Pelodiscus sinensis: one gene and its partner. The main gene of each other region encodes a partner of the protein of the gene in region 2 in a complex. Links are inferred from orthologs where the notes say so. Each region holds a gene or a part of one and is shown on either strand. Other genes may lie near its edges.

Region 1 (11,192 bases), on a different chromosome or scaffold from region 2:
CCGCAGGGCTTTGGACTGGCACAGCAATACTGAAAAAGCCTCGCTGATGTGCTCCCATGGACACAGATTTCCTTTACCTAACAAGCCCTTGAGGACTGGGAGCTCTTCTCATCCCCACATCTGTCCCATTCTCACATTGGAGTAGTTGAGCCCTGCTTCAAAGGGAGAGGAATAGCCCAGTTTAAAGTAGGGATGTAACAGTGTAGTCAATTAACCAATTAGCAAAAGCTTATAGGTTAATGCTATAGACTATACCTATTCATAGAATCACAGGGCTGGAAGAGACCTCAGGAGGTCGAGTCCAGCCCCCCGGCCTAAAGCCCTCCCCCCCAGTAAATTTTTCAGCAGGCTGGCCAGCCAACTGGCTCAGTCCAGTCCGGAACCTACCCCTGCTGCAGCTCTGCATTTAAAGTGTATTAGGAGCTAGGCTGGCAGGAAGCCCGGCTCAGTTTCGGCTCGCACCAGATCCGGGAACTCAGACACACCCTCCCCACCCCCCCGCCACGGGCTGCTGCCACCCTGCACTGTTACCTCTGTATCAGAGGCAGTAGCCCAGGGCAACAGGCAGCTGGTCTGCGAGGGGAGCTGGTTTTTAAACTGGCTCCCCTTGCAGACCAGTTCCCACCTGGCATCCCGCACTGCTGCCTCTATAGAGACACAGTGGTAAGGAAGAAACAAGGAGTGGCAAGGGGCTCCTCATGACATCAGAGCGCACTGGTTGCTAGCCCCACTCCAGGCATTATAGTACAATCGACTAACCGATAAGAATGTATGCGGTTACTTGATTATTCAAGTAACCGTTAAACATCCCTAGTTTAAAGTTGTCAGAATCTGCTTCCAGCCTCATTAAATTCCACTTGCCATTGAAGTAAGTGCAGCTGGTGCAGGACAAGCATAGGTAAGCACTCAGCACTTGACCTGCTCACCATATCAGGCTACCGCATGAAACCCGACAGGCAGGTATTACCTTCCTCTGCCTGCCACCACCCACAAAAGCAGCAGCTACTGGTAGCTGTTGCTATTATCTTTGTTGCAAATGCTACAATAGGGCATGAACATCATCACAGCATCTGAACCATCAGCTACATCTTCAGTACATTTACAAGCAACCCACATCTGTGTCCCGGCTACGAGACAATAGGGACACTATTCTCAGCCATGCTTCATTTCACTTTTAAAAACCCGTGGAACAGTGTGACAAGATGTACAATACACTGTAGTGTTAGACCAGAGTCCACATAGAAGAAATGGAGACAAAACTGCAATTCTTTAAAGTTAAAGGCCTCTGGTCATAGTTACATTAAGTTGAATGCATGATTTCCTCCTGACCAGTTCTGGGGGAAAAATGCTAAACAATTTTACCCCCCTACAAACTATGAATCGCACACTAATACAAATAAAAGTGCCCTCTAAATACCATTTAACTATGAAAATAAAATACATAAACTTACAGGATTTAATGCAAGTCCCGAACTTGAAAATATATCAGCATATGCAATGTTAGCTCCACAGCAGACAGCAGTTTATGAGCAAGTCTGTAGGCGTAGGAATTCCGGTGTACTAGCTGGCTCCACGACAAATCAAATGCCTTTACTGATTCGTGACCAGCCCATTTTAAAGTGTAGCACTGCGGGGTGGAGCCTGAATGTTAAACCAACTCCGGCGTGTGTCCACAATCCATGGGAAGCCACCTGACTCCTCAGAAGAATAATATGCCATTACAGCAAATTAGTTCCTGGACAACCAAGCCACTATTTAGACACATCCAACATATGGGCTCCAACCAACTCCCAAACACTTTTATAATGCACTTCAGTGACCTCTGAACAAACAGAGACAACACACTAAACCTGTCATTGACAAACTGCACCAGTACAAATCCCCCTCCAGGGAATACTTTGCTGTGAAACAGTTATCACTCCTACTGCCTCTGCAATACAACAAGCAGACACGAATGGTCAGGAGGAGGAGGAGGAAGTTACAGCTTAATATATCAATCATCTTTGTTCTTTATAAAGCTGCAACAGCCAAACAAGACAAGGCAGACTGATGAAGCAGTTCAGTGTATTTGGCATTCAGATGGGGGGAGAAGGGAAGTCTTCAATGTATCCATTTTTAAATCCCTTCTTTAAAGAGCCTTATTTGAGATTATTAGTGGAATGGCTCCATCTAATTCTCAGTGCATTTCATAGGAATAGGCTCTCCCCTCTCCCATCAACAATTGTCATTCACCATCTCATTCTCTAGTGCCACATACCCCAATTCTCCCCCCCCCCCCCCCACATACACACACACCAACTGTAGGCAATGGGAATTCTGCACATGGACTGCTCAAAGGTTGTGAAAGGCTGACTAGTTAACCAATGGGTGCTGGAACAGCCCCCCTGGCTGCTCCAGCCCTGCGGGGCTAATTAATTGGGATTTTACAACCCTACTCCTAGGACCAGGACTTTAGAAGTTACAGAAAGAAGGGGGGGAGGCAGTCTCCTTTACTGGAACAGCTTATCTTGGTTACAGATAAAGACACAAGCTTTCAAGTTCCACAGAGCTCTTCAGGGCTGCACTGTCAGCAGCAGAAGTTAAGCCAACAAAAAGGTGGTATCTCTCTCTTTGTCTTTCATAGTCTGGGACCAACAGGGTTACAGCAATGCTGCAAGTTAAGCAGTATTTTTTCCTTACAGAACCTGTAGGTCACAGTCTGACAATGGATAAGGCATAAACAAATTAAAAAAAAAAAATCAACCCTTCCCCTCACTGTTTCTGTCCTGCATTGCTGACAGAAATGGAAAGATCCATTTCCACTCAGGAAAGTTGAGGGGGGCCATTTAAAATCAAATAGAGCTTGTCTACACTTGAAACACTATTTTCAAGTGTAGACAATGCACTAGAAACAATCATAGAAAACCTCTCCCACTCCCAAACTTCTCGAGTGGACCCATCCTTGTCCATGGAAATACTGAAATCCGTATAAGTGTGTCTCTCAGGGGTGTGGATTTTTCATATCCCTGAGACACACGACTATGCCAATGCAAGTTCCCAGTGTCAACTAGCCCCAAGTCTGACCCAAAAGAACAGGACAGAAGATCTTTTACAATGAACACCCAGCTTAGGGCCGCTCATAACATGTGAGGTTGTTGATTAGCCACTGGCTCAGTTTGGAAGCTGCACATGCCAAACAAACTACAAAACATCCTTCACACACGCGCCAACAAAAAGCTCTATGGAAGCTCAAAAACGGTCTTGAACTTTCAGCAATAGAAATTGGTCGAATATTACCTCACTCACCTGGTGTCAGAAATTGACTATATTGTGAACTTGAGTATCCAGTCATGGAAAGAGCAGGCACCAACTATTTAGGACCAGGCTGAAGTCATGTTCTACCACTAAGATGACCATGTAGTAAAAATAACCATGTTAATGAGACTTACAGGGTGTATTCCAAAGACCGTTCAAAGCAGCACCATAATGCATACAGTTAAATAAACCTATTTCCTTAATTAGTTCAAACACTGATAATGTTCAGAGATTTACTTTTCAAATTCTCACACACAGCAATAACAGATGACCTCTGGCCGTTAAACATTTCCTTGCATGCCAATTACTTCGTTTTCTGATAAAGAAAATAAAGCACTTGCTCAGGCCCCCAGCTGACAGCTCCGTGACAATTGGCAGTGGCCAATAATCTTAACTCATTTTCATATGAAAAGGCCCCTACCATTTACTGTTACCCTGAGGGGAAGATGCTACAACAGAGCAGTTCAGCTATAATAGCTCCTTTAAAATGGCACAAACAAGGGAATAAAGTTGAGAATAATCTGAGTTTTATTTGTTTTATTATTTTTGTGGTGATTTTTTAATTGTGCATGAACTAGGTCAAATTACCAGAAGGAGGGGAAAAAATATCTTCGTTCTGAACTTGGAGGGCGGGGAGGAGAGAGAAATCCTCTTCATAACTCAGTTTTCACCAGCCAGCGTTTGCACAACAGATCCAGCCCGGGTTGGAGGAGTGGGGAGGTGGAGAAAAGAATTTACTGTCGGCGGTAGGAGAGGATGGAGCTGGCGAATGAATTCCGCCTCTCAGGAGAGTCTCCATCAGGTGGGAGCTCCAGGAAAGCTGGATGTTTGGGGGGGGGAAGAGAGCAGAAGAGAACGGGGCCGGCATACAAGCGCTGTGCTTGTCTCTACCCGAGTGTGGGCCGCTACATAGGAAACCGAAGCCACAGAAGGTGGGAAGAGAGGACCGGTCCCTCGCCAACTTTCCATTAACCCCTTGCGCGCCGGGACAAAGGCCTTTCCCGGGCGGATAATGGCTTTCTGAGATTGCCGAAGGATGCCCACGTTATTCAACCTTCCCCCTCCGGATACACCCTATCCCCAACCCCCAGCAACAGGGCAGGCCCCTCCCCAGCACCCGGGGGGAGCAAACAACCCACTCGCCCCCCCCCCTGCTCCTTTCCCGCGCCAACCAGCCAGCGCCCTGCACAACAGCCCGGTGCCCGCTCGGAGCTGCGGGGAAAAGGCGCCCGGGGGAGTCTCTGCCAGCCCCGCACCGTCCTCCCTTGCACGTGGGGACGGGCGCATCCTGCCCCTCCAGTGCCCCGCTTCTTACCATGCAAGCGGGGCTGCTCCCTACCGCTCCGGGACGCGGCAGCGGACCATGGCTGCGGCCGAGGGCGGGCTCTCTCCCTGCTCCGCGGGCCTCCGGGGCGCGCGTTGCGGGCTGGGGAGGGCAGGTTTCTTCGGGGCGCGTCTCCTCCCCAGGCAGGCCCGCTGGGATGCCAAGCGCCGGCGGGGTGCGAGGTGGAGGAAACCAGCCCCACCCCGTGCACGCCAATCCGGCTGCAAGCACCCACCGCCGCCTTGGCCCCCTGCAACTCCCGCCGCCGCTGCGCGCGGCTCCCCCCCGGACACTCTCACGGCTAGAGCCGGGCTCCTCCCGGGCGCCAGACGCTAAGAGCTCGGGCCGGCCGCATCACATGGCTCAAATAGCTCCCAGCTGCCGCTTGGCACCTCCCCGCTCCCGGCCCCTCCTCTCGCGGGAGGCGGGACCAGCGAAACCGCTGCCCGGCTCCTCTCGGCTTCTGCAGCCCTGGAGAGACGGGAGAAAAGCCCCCGGCTGAGCTGGGAAGGGGGCGTTTCGGGGGGGGAACCCTTTGATTCGGAGGAAGGGTCGTTCAGTGCTGGAGGAGGCCAAGGCGGGAATCCCCATTCAGTGGAGGCTTGGAAGCACGAGTTGCACCCACAGCTGCCAGGCGTGGTCTGGGAGGGTTTCCTTGCTCCTGCCTCAATGCATGGTCTCAAAGGCCCTTCCCCCAGCTCTACGTTGCCATGCTTTTATGAATTGGGGGTTAGGAGCGAGTCCTAGGAAGCAGTGTTCCCTTCAATCCCTGACATCCATGTGCAGAATAATTTTGTATGTGCCGGCAGGCGTGTGGGAATGTGCACTGCTAGTAGAAGCACAAAACCTACCTGTAGGGCTCAGCCAACCGGATGAAGCTGCATTTTAATCTCTGGCAAGCAGCCGCACAGGGTAGGAGGCTCGTAAGAATAAGGAAGACCAGATGATTACTGTCTTGTGATGGTGTCCAAAGGCCATTGTAGTAGGTGCCTTAAAACAGATATTGAAGGGCTTGCAACCCGAAGCCCTAGATCCTGCGAACCCTTATGTAACCCACCTGCCTAGTGGGTGTGGGTCACTGTCCCACGTAGTGGCACTTAGACCAGGTGCTGCAAGAGATAAGAATGAGTGAATACCACTGACTCAGCTAAAAACCACCGGAATTTATAGCTCAAGCTGTAGAGGTTCCTTTGCACAGCCCCTGAGGTCCTAGGTTCAAAGCTGCCCTTCTTCCACTAATTTCTTTAGGATATTTGTAGTGGCAGAAGTTGAGCTACATGCATTGCATACACCCAAGCATTCAGACGCCTTGAGTCAGGCCCCATAAAATCAGAAAAATGGCTTACAAATTGTAAGATTTTAAAACTAATACACAATCAGTTATTTTTATTGGTTTATTAAAATTATTATTATTGACACTTTAGGGTACACTCAGGATATGTTTTCAAGCTTTTCAATCTAGCCATGAAGGCATTTTTTTTAAAAAAAAGCTCTTCACCTACGCCCATGATTACAGGAGTTGGGATTTTGAGAAAAATACCAAATATGATTAGGAGAATTGTCAGCATTGGTGAGGTAAAAATCAACTCATCTAATTCTGTACCTTTGTTACAAATAACACCGTGGGTTATTAATGTTCAAAGCATTTTTCTACTATTTATATGCTTTCTTTTTAGTTGTGGACCCGCAAAAAGTTCCACTTTTGCTTGTTCCCTGTCTAGTTGTCGCAAACACTTAAGTGGAACATTTATTTTTTTTTAACTTATTTAATTAAGAAATAGGTCAAGAAAACAATTGTATTGGTTTTAGGATCTGCAAAAAAAAAGTAAATTGTGGGCCAAATTTGATTTGATGGTCTCATTTTAAGAAGCACATTTTCAGTGTTCCCAAGCAAAAAGTCTTAGGGTTGTGAACTTATGAGTTCTCATTAGCTAAGCAAACTTGAACTTGATCAGTATTGAACAGGACATAGTCAATGGCCATGTAGGTGATGTATAAATGATTCAGCAAGTGACACTCCACCATCCGAGTCAGTATTGAACTAGTGCCTCATCATCAGTGTTCCCTGTAAGTTGAGCACTTGGGCAGCTGCCCAGGAGAAAATCAGGTGCCACCCAGCTGACTGGCAGAGTGCCCACAGCTGACCACAGCCGCAGCATGCATTTTCTATTAGTGGTGCACATCTGTGCATGCCTTGGTGTACATAACAATATTTATTCTGCACATAAATGGAAACTCGTAGAGGGAACATTGCCCATTATGGTGCTGAAGGTGGTAGTTTTAAGTTGAGACAGTCAAATGAGGTCCTGACCACTGCAGTCATTAAAAATCCCATGATATTTTTCCTAAGAAAAACTGTTAGTCCTCATGGCTTTCTACATTGAAAGGGTCTGATTCTCATCTATGCAGATCCTTCATTTAACTGAGAATCACACTCAAGTTGTGTTACAGAGGGGTAGCCGTGTCAGTTTGTAACCGGAACTTAAAAAAAACAACAAAAAGTGTTACAGAACCTTAGAGACTAACAAAAAATGTAGATGGTATCGTGAGGTTTTGTGGACACAACCAACTTCGTCAGATAAATGGAGTTCCACAACTCAAGTTGAGTAATTGTGTTCTTGTTCTGTCTACCTTAATGCAGTTTTACTTAGAAAATTTTCTTTCCTGTTAGCATTGTTGTCAATGTTCCCTTTAATCTTTTCCATTCATGTGCAGATTTTCTCCATTCGTGTGCGGAATACATTTTTATGTACGCCGAGGCATGTGCGAATGTGCACCACCAATAGCAACACAACACTTAGATGTGGGAGCTCTGCTAATCAGCTGGGCAGCATTTGAATTTCTCCTGAGTGGCTGCACAAGTACGCAGCTTACAGGGAACATTGGTTGCTGTGCTCTTTTTAGCGATGGCTCAAGTTCAGAAGCAAGTAAGGGTATTCCTTTCCATTTCCATGTACAACATTTTACTGCAAAAAAGGTGAGTTTTCACCATGGGATAACTAGCATACTTTAACTATACCACTATAAAATATTAGTGGCGACAAGCCACTATAGCTTTTACTGCATGATAACTAGGTGAGGTTAGGAGTACAGTAATTCCTCATTTAACACTATAGATATGTTTCAGAAAATGATCATGTTAAGTGAAAACGTGTTATGCAGGGTCAATTTTCCCATTGAAAATAATGGAAAAGGTGGGAGTTGCGTTTCAAGTGGTGGTGTCTGTTGGGACCGGGACATAAGGTTGGGGGAGAAAGGAGACTGGGTTACAGCAGGGAGGGGAGGTGTTTGGCTCTGGGGAAGGGAAGGGGAGTAGAGGAGAGGGGGATTGGGTTGGGAGTATGCCCCTGTGACGGGTCTGCTGGGACCCGCACTGCGTCCAGTGACTGGGGGTTGCCGGGGAACGGCACGGCGAGTGGAGAACCCTCTGCCGCTTTGTAGGGAGGCAGGGGAAGCTCCGCGCAGCCACTGGCAATGGGCTGGCTGAGGAAACCATGTTATTCCAGGGACGGTCGTGTAATTCAAAAGACATTCCCTAAAAAAAATCATGCTATCGCGAAAACGTGTTAAGCGGGCACGTGTTAAATGAGGAATTACTGTATAGTACATATGATTTACACAGGGCCAGCCCCACATTTTGGCACCTGAGGCGGGGAGCTCAAATGATGCCCCCATGCCACCTCGCTTGGGCCAAAACTTTGAAAGGTCTCAATTCTGCCTTCTTCCTGTTCTGCTCCTCTCATGGCACTGCTCTGCTACTGACCCCAACAAAGGAGACCTAACAACTTAAAATACCTTGTTCAAAAAGTGTGAACTAGAGGTGACCACTCTCAGTCAGGCAGCAGCCTCAGTTCGCCTCATGGTAAGGCCAGCCCTGGATTTACAGGACATTAAGACAGTTATTTTAGCTGTCTAGTAGCTAAAAATTCCCTAGTACCCCCTGGGAATTTAAAAATAAAGCACAAAAATCCTTTAACACACTATACTGGTGGAAAGAAAAGGGAGAAACAAATATGAAAGATATATAGCCAGGGTGGCATTTAAGTCAATAGGAGTTTTCCATTCATTTTAATGACAACATTGAACCATTTTGAAAATCCTACATGCACACTTTTCCCCACTATACTTTTTATTTGAACAGGTGGCGGCTCAAGCCCCACATATCCACAAGCAGCAGAAATCAGTGGGAGTTTTGCCTGGAAAAGGAATGAATAGGAAGTGCAAAATTTTGCCCGTGTAAATAGCTCTAAGTTCAGCCAGGAGTGCAGTAACAGCCCACTGGGTAAATCTTTCTTTGTCTGTCAATCAATTCTTTGCAGCTCTTAAAGTCTCGTGTGTCTCTTTTCCTGCCCCGTGTGCATAACACAACTCCATGCAGAAATTTCTGCTCAGAACATTGTGACAGGGCTGTGACTATCTTTATTTTGGTGCTTAGAAACACCAAGACCAATGATCGCTTCAATTTTTTCCCATCTGTGTGTAAAATAAATTTTATGTGCATTGAGGCATGTGTTAATGTGTACCAGCGATAGACACACATGCTGCCAGCTGTGGGCAGCTACGTGCACTCTGCTAGTCAGCTGGGCGGCATTTGTATCCCTCCTGGGTGACCACCCAAGCACACAGCTGATGAGGAGCACTGATCAAGACCACTCTAGTTTTCATTTACCCTGAGGCTTCTGTACACCAGTCTGGCTGTGTAGATGCCACTAAATTACATATTATGCCAACTTTAGGGCTGTTTTTCAGGCCAATGTCAAGGGGTCTTCGTGTAATGAATAGCCTACAGGAGGTAAACATAGGCTGAAATGACCTTGTAACTCAAAAAGCTGTTGTTGTGTCTTCCTTGGGTGCTGTTTAATTTGTTTTTGAAATGTCATCTTTCTGAAGGGTGTTGGACCAGGACTGAGGTCTTTGGTTGGCTCACGGAATAGGCACAGCAGGATCAGTTGCAGTGCAAGTTTCCCTGCAAACCTGATGCAGAGGTCCCACAGGTGCCCCTGAGCAGGTTTCTATTGGACTCTGCTGATACTGCTACAATATCTGCTAAGTGCCTACCACCTCCTTTCGTCAAGCCACCCACCAGCCATCAAGTGGTTAAAACTGTTACTACCTCCTGGCCAGGGTCACACTGGTGACCTAGAGCAGTGTTTCTCAACTAGTGGTACGAGTACCCTTAGGCTGGGGTAGTTGAGAGAAGTCGGGGGGAGTGGGGATACGTCAATACAACTGAAATTTGGAGAAAACTGAATTTTTGTTTTAAGTTTTATAGCGCTTTATTGTTTTTGTCCTTTTTACATCCAAAAATTTCATCGCCCGCCTGGCTATGATTAGGTTGTTTAAACAAATGTGTTGCAATGGTAGAAAAAAATTGTGCGCATCTGAAAACTGTAGATACTGGGGATATTGATCATTTTTTTAAAGGGGTACTTTATAAAAAAGGGTTGAGATGCACTGAGCTAGAAATCAAATCTTCATGGACCTCCCACCCATTCCTTGAGGTGTCAAGTCCCTGTCACTCACAGAGCCTACAAACATCTGGATTTACAGATGTTTATCCCTAGGGGTTGGGAAAATCCCCCCTTCACTGCATGTGTGCTGTGCGCCAGGGGAAGTACAGCTGTGGCAACAGCACAAGAGAGGGGAACCTGGCTCCTGGATGAACTGAAAAGCTCTTGCTCAGGGGGCATCAGACCCATAGGTCTGCTATGGGTCATACCCAAGCTGCTGGATCCAGACCACAGGCCTGCTCCCTCCCTTATCTCCCACCAGGGCGCTCAGGCACAGAACAGCCAGCCACTGCAGAGCAGCCCCGGGCTGTTTTAAGCAGGTGGCTGCTTCCTGTGACACTCAGCTCCAGGCACCAAGGGGAGGGGAAGGCTTTGTGGAAACTGGCCCTCCCCCCCAGCACTCAAAGCAGAGAGCCACAGGGAGCAGCCAACTATTTGAGCAGCCTGGGGTTGCGCCATGCAGGGAGCCTGCCTCAGGGTCCTGCAAGGCTGCTGGCCAAGAGCTGCTTTGGTAAGTGCCTCCCAGCCACAACCTACCTGTGGCACCCCAGCCCCTCCCTCCCTTCATTCTCAGATCACCAGCTCTTCCTGCCCCAACTCCAAACCCTCTTCACCTTCCCTCCCTCCCCTCCTCCCCCAGGTCACATCTCCCTCCCAGACCCTGTACCCCCTTTTATACCCCTCCCCCAAACCCCTTCCCCAGATCACAAACTCCTTTACCCAAACTCCATCTCAGACCCCACACCCTCTCCTCCACCCCAGTCCCCTACCCCGAGTTCCCTTCTGCACCTAACCTCCAGTCCAGCTCCTGCACCCCCTCCATAGAAAAGTGCGGCACTTGACCACTTACCAAAATCTTGGAGCGACCCCCCCCCTCATCAAAAATTATTGCCCATCTCTGCCCTAACATGTTCCCATGCTGCCTTGTGAACCAGTGTGATCGATCACAGATTGGATGCAGCTACAAATTTGTATCCATACAGGGACTCTGCCCATGGGAGTTAGGCACCTGGATATCTTTAAGGATCTGGGCCACTAAGATTATATTGTTACAATACACTCTA
Region 2 (11,140 bases):
TCGGCAGCCCCGTTATTCCTCGTGGGATGAGGTTTACCGGGGCTGCCGACAAAGGGCTTTGATGTCGGCAGGGGAGCATCCAGACTAGCGCGCTGAGCCGACAAACAGCTGATCAGCTGTTTGTCGGCTCAGCGCGGCAGCCATGTAAATTTAAATGAAGCCGCGATCATTTAAATCGCGGCTTCATTTGCCTTTGCCTATCTGTCTAATCTACATGGCTCCATCGACGGAGCCATGTAGTTTAGACACACCCATGGGCATGCCTACTGTGCATCTCGAAGCTAGTTCTCCCCACACCCCGACCCTCGACAGACTTATCAAGTTCAGATACCCCAGGCCTCAGAGCTCAATCCTACAACTTCTACACAACTATTTTTAGCAAGATATCGTGAGACCTGCTAGCACAGGTTTGAAGAACCACACTAGAGTGCTCACTTCCAGATGTGGTATAGACATGTCCGAAGTCTTTGGAAAACTGAAATGCTTGGGTCTAAGTAACATCACTGGAATTTATATAGCAAAATCTGGCTGAAGTGTAATGGCTTGTGATATACACATGAAGAATAAGATGGCTCCCTCTGATCTTGAACTAATGAATTCTTAGTGCTACATATACTCCTATTTTAAAATGTTAATGGAAGACTTTCAAGAAGTTGGCTTGATCACAAAAAAAAGTCAGTTGTATGTAAATGTTTGCCTGTCGAGATGTTCATCACAAATGAATTCTGCCTACAAGCCAGAACTTGCAAAAATAAAAAAAAACCAAACACACTCCCTCATATCTGCACTGCAGGTTAAGTACTTTATATTAATGGTGGTAGCTACATGAAATGTTTGTTATAACATAGATATTAAAAAGAAATCAGTTTCTTGGTCAAACTGTATTTAATTAAAAAACAAAACAAAACAAAGACACTTACTAGCTATGGAGTTATTCGAAGTTTTAAGACAAAACATATACAATGGCAAAAATGTCATTAAGTTATTCCTAGGAGTGCTGACACACAGTGACAGATTTTGCAAAGTTATTTGTAAGGAGACAGCAATAGAAAAAAACCCGATCCCCTAAGTTAAGCAGATATTGAGGGCCAAATGGGAAAACTGGAGCTGATGGTCTCTGTTGAGTAGAGGACAAGCACAGTGGCCTCAATCCTTTATTAGTAGAAGATAAAGAAGCAGGCTATGTTAGTTGTTCCTGACAGGAGAAATAAGCCCAACAGAAGTAGCAGAGGAAGCTCTAAGCCATTGCTTCTCCAAGCTTAAGGGAGTGGAAGCAAGCAGCAGAAGATTCAGGTTCTAGAGAAAGGCAGATGGGGTGGGAGCAACTATATTTGGGCACAAGGAACGGACTAGATAAAGTTATTTCTTTGCAAACGTGGCACTTCATTTAAATAGGTGTGGTAGTGCTGTTATTTGTCACACAGGCAATCAGTGGCTTTTAAACTTTTTTCTCATGACCCAATTGAAAAAAAATTGTTGATGCCCATGATTCAACATAATTATGTCTTGACTTAAGTGCTGGCTCTGAATTGGGGCTTTGGATGAGAGGCCTGGTGTGTAGGAGGGGGCTCTGAGTTTGGGGGGCACTCAGGCCTGGGACAGGGAATTGGAGCATGGGCTTCCCTACAGCAGCTTCCTGCCTCTCCTGGCACCACAGACTTTGCTGTGTCCTGGAAGCGGCTAGCAGCAGGCCTGTCTCCTAAACGGATTTGTGCAAGCAGCCCGGCTCACTGCTCTTGCCCACAGTTACTAGTTTTCAAGTGTGAGTTTCCTCATTTTCAAGAGTGTGAGTACTTGGGATTCAGTCCTGCAATCCTTCACTTTAAAGTGCAGGCTATACAAGAAACAAGGCTAATCACTTAAGTCAAAGTTGTGGGAGTGAGCCCTAAAACAGAGTTTTTATTTAAGACTTCATTTGTTCCTGCTGCTTATTCCTCACCAGACAATACTTCTGGTTTTACAAGTTAATATGTCATCACAAAGAAAGGATTATGACTTCAGGAGAGGAAAACAGGATTTCATCTTCTACTGCACAAGACACAAAAGATTGTTTCTCCCCCTCCCTCCATGCAGGCACCCCTAGTAGAGGAGAAATATTTAGTGATATACATGTTATCTAAAATAGTGTTGCCCTTTATCATCAATATAAAACTGAAGAATGCAATTCAACTTTGTTTTCAGTCTCCTCTAGCTTCATAAAAAAAAAAAAAGCAAATGGTTTTGTTATCATGCTTCTGAATTCCTTTAAGAGTTTTTTTAAATGAATGCCAGATTTTCATGCTAGTAGCAAACCACAAAGAACAGTTGTGTTGGCTGATAAAAATATTCATCTCTGCTCCAAAAAAATGCACTTCAAACCACTGCATTTTTTCCAAATACAGGAAATTGTTTTAGATTAAGAAGTGTATTTACACCTGAATATTTATCCAGAGCTTAATACCATGATTTCCTTTCTTCGTTGTTCAGAACACAGCAAAGTGACTAACACAAACTTATGTGTTAAGTTTAATCATATTTATTAATGAAATTCGAAAGTAATGATATGACAAAAGCAACAGAAAATAATCATTGAAATTACCTTTGATAAAAGATCGCCACAGAGTCGTGAGAAACCAGACAAAAATTAGGAGGGTATTTTATATTACAGAATACTTTGCAACTCCTCTAAGGCACACACACTGTTTCACGTCCTAGTTTCAGCCAAGGCACACTAAATTAAGAAGTACGGTTCTTGTTTTAAGAAGTGCTCAATGATATATTCATTGCTGTTCCTGTCAATGTTCACTAATCCTTCCTGACTAGAAGCCCAAGCCCAAGCCTGCAGCCATACAAGCATCACAACATTGGACTCAGACCCAGCCCACCCCAAAGTGTTTGGAGCCGGAGGACTCTTGTCGGTAAACTCGGCGTTTAAATAGGGGTGGGGGTAATGAGAGGACATCCCTGGCCCAGTACATCCAAATCCCGCCAAACTCTTCCCAACCTCAACCCCGTAGCTTCGCCACTGTCAGGCCTATTGTCCCAAGAGAGGTGCAGACATGAGGGACGAAGCGAAACAGCAGCGCTCCCGCGCTAGGCAGTTTAATCCCCGCACCTCACCCCGCGCAGGAGGGCACAAGCCTCCCTGGCGGCAAGGAACTGGAAGCAACACCAGTTGCTCCCGGGCGGGGGCGGGACCGGCGGGCAGCGGCGCTCACGACTCAGGTGCAGCGTCTCAGCCGCTCGCACTAGCGCTCCCAGCACCCCTAGCCCGGGCAGCGGCGCGGGGCTCACCTCGGCGGCGGGGATGTTCACCACACCTGTGGAGCGCCTCTTCTCCCGCAGCTTCCTCTTCTCGATCTGCCCCTTCCCCTTCCTGGAGCTGGGACCGGAGCTTTTCCCCTTGGCCGCCGCCGCCGCCTTCTCCTCCTCCGGGGAGCCGGGCGCGGCGGGGGGCTTCCCTGCAGGCTCCGCCGCTCTGCTCCCGGCTGGGACCGGGGGCTCCTTGGAGCCGGCTCTGGCCGGGAGGGGGACGCAGTTCAGGCCCCCGCTGGGGGAGGGGGCGGCCCGCTCCGGGGGGTGCGGCGGGGCGGCCGGGCCGGGGGCGGGGTGCAGGCTGCTGTTGAGCTCGGTAGCGGAGGCGGCGCCCCCGGGCGCTTTGCCCTCTGCCCCGGCCACTGGCGGCGCCTGCTTCGCCCGCATCTTCTCCCGCTTGGCTTTCCACTCCTCCAGAAAGTCCGTGGTGCTGGCCCCGCTGCTCCGGTAGCCGCCGGACGCCATGTTCCCAGCGGGGCAGAGGGGCGGCCCGGGCACCACCGCCTGCGGAGAGCACCAGGGAGTCAGCCCCGCCCCCAGGGAGCCAGCCCGCAGCGCCCCGGGCCAGCGCCGCTCCACGAGCGCCCCCCCCCGAACATCCCACTCACCCCCCCGCGGGGATCCCCTCTGGACCCCAGCGACCCCCACCCCCTTCCCAGGACAGCCCCGTTCGGTTCCCGCCAGGGCTCACACCGCACCCCCCGCAACCAGCCCACAGCCCCGCCAACAATCCCCCGGGGGAAGCGCCCCCTGCACGTCACCCCTCTCCGCATGCCAGAGCTGCGAGCGCCCCGGGGATAGCGCTGGGCTAGTCCCCGCTGCAGGGGGGCAGCCCCGGCCCCGCAACCCCCCGGCTCGGGGCCGCGCTCCTACCTCGCCGCTACGCAGAAAAGGACCCGCGACGCTGCCCGCCCCGGCTTCAGGTGAGTCGCGGCTGCTGGCGCTGCCCCACTCCCGGAAGGAGCTGAGCCGCTCCGGACTTTGCCGGGCGGCGGCGAGCGCAGCCGAAGCGCGGACGGAAGCGGCCGAGATCTCGCTTTAACAATGGGGTGCGAGGGAGGCGGGGGGAGGACCCGCCCTGCCCGTGCCTGGGAGCGCGGCGTCTGTCCTGCCCGCAGCGCCCGGCCCAGCCACAGGTGTCCGGCCAGGCAGCGCGCACGTGGGGGGCCCGGATTCTCTGCGGGGCCAGTTCGAGCCGTAAGCATCGAGCGCTCCGGCCGCTGCGCTGGGCGAGGGAGCGTGAGGAGCCCGCTGTGCCTTGCAGTAACTAGAGCCCGCTCCCCCCCCCCCGCTGAGATGCACAGTTCTCACCTAGCCGGAGATCAGGCACCGTGGTTCTTGAAACAAGGCGAGTGCCACCCACTCGAGGGTTTGGCTAACCATCCGCACAGCTCCGAGACTAGCCTCTCTCAGCCCCTCCCAAGCTCTTCCCTCAGCCAGGAGCCCTGAAAAACGCAGATGGGAAGGTATCAAGCGCCTGTGCACAGCACCTTGTACAATATGAACTTGTGGTAGAAATGTAGCTTTGTTAGTCTGGTGTAGCTGAAACAAAACACAGGACTATGTAGCACTTTAAAGACTAACAAGATGGTTTAATAGGTGATGAGCTTTTGTGGACCCAGACCCACTTCCTCAGATCAAATAGTGGAAGAAAATTGTCACAAACATGTATGCCAAAGGATACAATTTAAAAAAAAGAACACATATGAAAAGGACAAATCAAATTTCAGAACAGAAGGGGGAAGGGGAGAGAGGTAAATGTCTGTGAGCTAATGGTATTAGAGGTGATAATTGGGGAAGCTGTCTTTGTAATGGGTAAGATAATTAGAGTCTTTATTCAAACTTTAGTGTAAAGTATCAAATTTAAGCATGAATGATAGTTCAGAGGATTCCCTTTCAAGTGCAGTTTTAAAAGGCCTTTGAAGCAGGATGCAGGTAATCAAGTCATTGAGACAATGTCCTTGCTGGTTGAAATGGCAAGAAACTGTTTTTTCTTTGTGATCCTGTCTAATATATGTTTTGTGGGCATTAATCCTTTGGCGAAGTGTCTGAGACGTTTGTCCAATGTACATAGCAGAGGGACACTTTCGGCACATGATAGCATAAATTATATTTCTGGATGCGCAGGAATATGTGTTCTTGATCTTATAACTCACTAGGTTAGGTCCACATATTCACTCGGCTGATACCATTATTGGACCTAACCAACTTATTTTAGCAGGTGCAGGCATATAGGAACGATGGGACTGGGGAATGTGGGAGCATGATATACAAGTTTGTGTGCCTAACAAAAGAAATCCAGATACTGTTACCTGGGACTGAGGAAGTTGTCATCCATCTCTTTCCTATCTTGTTCAGATTCCATTGCTAATTTGTTCTTCTGGTTAATAAAACTCTTAATGGATTTTAAAATGGAAACTTTTGGAGAGTGGAGGTTCACTGTGTATTTAGCACAATAGAGCCCTAGACCCTGACTTGAGCCTCTAGGCATTCCTACAATATAAATAATAGATGTAGACCATGGTTCAACTTTAACCTCATGTACATCTATTCCCTGCTCTCCTCTCCAGTGTTAGCACTCTGTCACCTGCCCATCAGTCAATGGCCCTCTGGTCATTTAATTCATTTCTAACTTTCACACTCAGTGATAGTATTTTTGAAGGGAATATGTGAGGAAAAAAGTTCTCACTTCTCAGACTAGAATGATTCCTGTTACATTTTTCACAGCAAAGCAATAGTTAAAATCATACTATTTAATCCTCTGGTATAATTTGGAAAAGTTTTAATAAGCTGGATAGTAACTACAGAAGAGTTAATTCTGCACCAGCACGGACATTATTTATCATTGTATGCACTCAACAATATATATGTACTATAGTTTGAGATTTTTCTAATTACCATTTACCAATGACATTTTCATTAAAAAATAATTTTGTTTAAATCCTCTCAAAAAAGTTGATAGTTCTCAGGATTAGGTTTTTTTGATCTGAGGTTTTGTTTTGTTTGGAAAGGGGATTATTCCAAAGTTCATAGAGCTATCAATTTTGAAAGTGATTGAAATTTAAAAACAGTAAAATTAACACTCTCTCAGTTGAGTTCTTTATTTATGTGGCAGATATTGCTTCCACTGTGTAACACGCCTCCTTACAGTACACAAAGAGAAAGATGCATCCAACCCAATACCAATTCTCCAATTGCCCAAACCCCCCAGAATTTCTAAAAACAGACCTCTCAAAGTGTTCTTTGTAGTTTATGGCATACACTATTTTCTACCCTTTCTGGGCTGTAGCTGCATCAGCCACTGTTGGATGTTTTTGCTTCTCAAAAAATGTTGGATTTTTTTAAATGCCAAAAAAGTCTCTGTGACCCTCGCAGTCTGTTATTTATTAACAGAAGTTTTGTGGTGAGGTTGGTTTTAGTGCCCAATGCAAAAATGCTGACTATCAGATGTTTGCATCTTAATAAGGGTGTCTGTGCTGGTGAGCGTTCAGGGATAAAGTCCTAAATAGTTTTAAGTATCACACTGCATGTTTTCCTCAGCCACAATTGGGAGAAACTTACTAAGTAGGAAAACATTTTCAGAGCAACCCTTCCCTTCTAAAATCTTAAGCATTTATTTTCAAGGCCTAGAAATGCTCTTTTAATAGTTAAGTTTAAAATGGTGTGTAGGCAGAGGCTCCTAAGACCTAAAATGTGGATTTTACATAATTATACTCAGTAAGAGTTTCTTCTCCTCAGTTAAGGATTTGCAAGGCTGATTTTGACTTTCCTTGTGAATCATAGAATACTAGGACTGGAAGGGACCTCGAGAGGTCATCGAATCCAGTCCCCTTCCCTCATGGCAGGACCACGTACTGTCTATACAATCCCTGATAGACATTTATCTAACCTACTCTTAAATATCTCCAGAGATGGGAGATTCCACAACCTCCCTGGGCAATTTATTCCAGGGTTTGACCACCCGGACAGGAACTTTTTCCTAATATCCAACCTAAACCTCCCTTGCTGCAGTTTAAGCCCATTGCTTCTTGTTCTATCCTCAGAGGCCAAGATGAAGAAGTTTTCTCCCTCTTCCTTATTACACCCTTTTAGATACCTGAAAACTGCTATCTTGTCCCCCCCTCAATCTTCTCTTTTCTAAATTGAACAAACCCAATTCTTTCAGCCTTCCTTCATAGGTCGTGTTCTCTAGACCTTTAATCATTCTTGTTGTTCTCCTCTTGCTCCTCTCCAATTTCTCCACATCTTTCTTGAAATGGACACAATACTCCAACCAGTGCCTAACCAGTGCAGAGGAGAGCGGAAGAATGACTTCAAAAAACAATAAACACTCATGTTATAATTAAATATGTATTGTTAAACACAATGCAGGACAATGTAGCACTTTAAAGACTAACAAGATGGTTTATTAGATGATGAGCTTTCGTGGGCCAGACCCACTTCCTCAGATCAAATAGTGGAAGAAAATAGTCACAACCATATATACCAAAGGATACAATTAAAAAAAATGAACAAATATGAAAAGGACAAATCACATTGCAGAACAGGAGGGAGATGCGGGGGAGGGGGGGGAGGAAGGAAGGTAAGTGTCTGTGAATTGATGATATTAGAGGTGGGGAGAGTGGGATGTTTGTGAGTTAATGGTATTAGAGGTGATAATTGGGGAAGCTATCTTGGTAATGGGTAAGATAGCTTGAGTGTTTGTTCATTCCTTTTTGGAGAGTGTCGAATTTTAACATGAATGACAGTTCAGAGGATTCCCTTTCAAGTGCAACCATTATTGGACCTAACCAAGTGAATTATAAGATCAAGAACACATATTCCTGCGCATCCAGAAATATAATCTATGCTATCATGTGCTGAAAGTGTCCGTCTGCTATGTACATTGGACAAACATCTCAGACACTTCGCCAAAGAATTAATGCCCACAAAACAGATATCAGACAAGATCACAAAGAAAAAACAGTTTCTTGCCATTTTAACCAGAAAGGACACTCTCTCAATGACTTAACCACCTGCATTCTGCTACAAAGACCTTTTACATCTGCACTTGAAAGGGAATCCTCTGAACTGTCATTCATGTTAAAATTCGACACTCTCCAAAAAGGAATGAACAAACACTCAAGCTATCTTACCCATTACCAAGATAGCTTCCCCAATTATCACCTCTAATACCATTAACTCACAAACATCCCATTCTCCCCACCTCTAATATCAATTCACAGACACTTACCTTCCTTCCTCCCCCCCCCCCCCCCCCCCCCCGCATCCCACTCCTGTTCTGAAATGTGATTTGTCCTTTTCATATGTGTTCATTATTTTTAATTGTATCCTTTGGTATATATGGTTGTGACTATTTTCTTCCACTATTTGATCTGAGGAAGTGGGTCTGGCCCACGAAAGCTCATCATCTAATAAACCATCTTGTTAGTCTTTAAAGTGCTACATTGTCTTGCATTTTGCTTCAGCTACCCCAGACTAACATGGCTACATTTCTATCATTGTTAAATCCAGTGTGCTTTTTTGAAAGTTGGGAAAATTTAGTATGTATGGTGTGAAATTAAGCATCTTTCTATTTTAAAAGTACATAAGTTGTCTAATGTTTCTGTGTCCTAGCAGCCCAAACAAATTTCCTGATCCCCCAAAATTACACACACGTGTAGCTTTTAACATAGACTTATGTAATGAGGCAGATTTCAAGGATAAAATAGTAATATTAAAGAAATTTACTTTATTATCCTAATTAAGCAAGGCCCTATATTCAACTTCATGGCATATCTCTATTTGTCTGCTACGCACAACTTCCCAAACCCAGTGAAAATCCTCATTGCTCCCACAAATCTTTCCCACTACGATGTACCCTTCCTGTACCCTATCACCTTTAGGAAACTTTTGCTAACCCCACCATTACCACCACCTCTGTCACACACATTTACTATCACTGTTCTACTTTATTTCCATGGTCCACTCCACCCACCTTACCTAACCCTCCTATGAAATACCCACTCTCTCAGGGTTCATCTCCCTGCCACTTCTCCTCAGCCTCACTTCACCTAATTAAATTATCCTACTATCTTCCTTCCCTGCTGCCTCTTCCCCTTTGAAAATCCTCCTGCTGATGTTCTCTGTGTTCCTCCCCCAGGTATAACCAGTACAGCTTGTTTCCACACTACCCCTATGAAACACCCTACATAACAATCGACAGTGAAATCACTTCAAACCCATCACACTGAATCTACCTTCCCACCACTTCACATTTCCTTTGCTGAGTACTCCTCAAGTCCATTACATCAGACCACTCCATGGTGTGTCTAGACTACACCTCTGTCGACAGAGAGATGTAGATTAGGCACATCGAAATTGCTAATGAAGCTGGGATTTAAATATCCCATGCCTCATTAGGATAAACATGGCCACCACTTTTTTTCTACATGGGGTTTTTTTTTTTAAAAAAAGGCAGTCTAGACGCAGATCAGTGGAAAATAAAGCCTTTTTCGACAGATCCTGTAAACCTCATTTTTTGAGGAATACAGGATCTGTCAAAAAAGGCTTTATTTTCGACAGATCCACATCTAGACTGCCTGGGCAGGAGGTTGAAAAAAAACTCAATTTCGAAAAAAAGCGGCAGCCATGTTTATGCTAATGAGGTGTGGGATATTTAAATCCCAGTTTCATTAGCAATTTCAACATGTTTGATTTGCATCCCTCTGTCAACAGAGATATACAGTCTAGATGTAGCCCCAAGATGCCCACTGTCTGAGCATTCTCCTACTGCCAGTAAGTCACCGTCACTATCTCATCTCAGGCCACATCTAGTAACAACCTTGCCTCAGATCATCACCACTTGATGAAATTTCATCAATCTCCCTAGTGAAATACTTCCTCCTTCAGTCCTTGCCCATGAAATTCAAACCCACTGTATCAATTCTTCTTCCCCATCCTTCCCCTTGCTACTATCTCCATCCTTGTAAAATACCCCCACACTGCACCTCATCCTCCCACAAAATCTCAGTATTGCCTCACCCATTCATGCTGCTGCCTCCACACCTCAGCTAAAATCCTACCCTTGCCCTGCCTCCACACTGCTACTTCTCTTTCTCTATCTCAGGCTCCTCTTGCTAATGTTCATCCACTCCTGCTCCTCATGGCGATACTTATCTTCTCCTGCACTTCAAGCCCCTCACCCTGCCTCACTAAGGTATACACGAGACTTTAACCTGGTGTGATGTGTTTCCAAAATGCTCATTTATGCCCTCCTCTTCTGTCTCAGTTCTGTTACTCAGAATTACCTTTCTTTGACTGTAACATAAGTCAGAAGAATTTCAAAACTTGAGGCCTTATCGATAGAACTTGAGTATTTCCCCTTGCACTCTGACTTTAGTGGGACTCTTCGTATGTGCAGGGATTTATTGTGTAGTCTTGGGGCTTGAAGAGTAACAATGGAGCAATCTTCTATGGGAGAAAGTTGACCTAAGATATACAACTCCACTTAGTAAAGCTGGAGTTAACATTCTTTAAGCTGACATATCCACTGCGGAAGGTAGACAAGAGAAACTTTCCCATCAACTTCCCATAAATCTCATGACCCGATGGAGTACTGGGGATGCCACCAGAAATGAATTTAGTGGGTCCTTACTAGACCTGCTAAATCAAACCCTGTGAGATCCATCTCCAGAGAGTTGCTCTCGGGCTAAGTGAAGACAGGGCCTGATTGCCCTCTAGCCAAACATACATTCCATCTCATTAGCAGGCTTCCTACTTTTCAGATACATTAATATTTGTCTTTACATTTGTAACTGTTTGTTCTTCAGATTCCCTCTTAATTTCCATTTTACATCTTCTCTAT

The links.
Region 1: the proteins of PAWR (region 2) and SPSB1 are in contact, whole or in part, in a crystal structure (PDB 2JK9), measured with the Homo sapiens proteins. The link is inferred for Pelodiscus sinensis from reciprocal best matches to the Homo sapiens genes PAWR and SPSB1. Residues at the interface, in NP_001341661.1 of Homo sapiens: Glu68, Leu69, Asn70, Asn71, Asn72, Leu73, Pro74; in NP_079382.2 of Homo sapiens: Arg77, His78, Pro79, Val80, Ala81, Gln82, Gly110, Thr111, Tyr129, Val216, Trp217, Gly218.

What each region holds. Positions count from the first base shown.
Region 1 is NC_134733.1:13,306,647-13,317,838, forward strand, and holds the start of SPSB1 (SPRY domain-containing SOCS box protein 1), read right to left. Parts: upstream 4,999-11,192; 5' UTR 4,610-4,998; intron 2,250-4,609; exon of another isoform or gene 1,452-2,249; intron 1-1,451. UniProt on the Homo sapiens protein: Substrate recognition component of a SCF-like ECS (Elongin BC-CUL2/5-SOCS-box protein) E3 ubiquitin-protein ligase complex which mediates the ubiquitination and subsequent proteasomal degradation of target proteins.
Region 2 is NC_134711.1:70,681,680-70,692,819, forward strand, and holds the start of PAWR (PRKC apoptosis WT1 regulator protein), read right to left. Parts: upstream 4,732-11,140; 5' UTR 4,606-4,731; intron 4,498-4,605; exon of another isoform or gene 4,168-4,497; intron 3,799-4,167; 5' UTR 3,760-3,798; coding exon 3,274-3,759; intron 1-3,273. UniProt on the Homo sapiens protein: Pro-apoptotic protein capable of selectively inducing apoptosis in cancer cells, sensitizing the cells to diverse apoptotic stimuli and causing regression of tumors in animal models.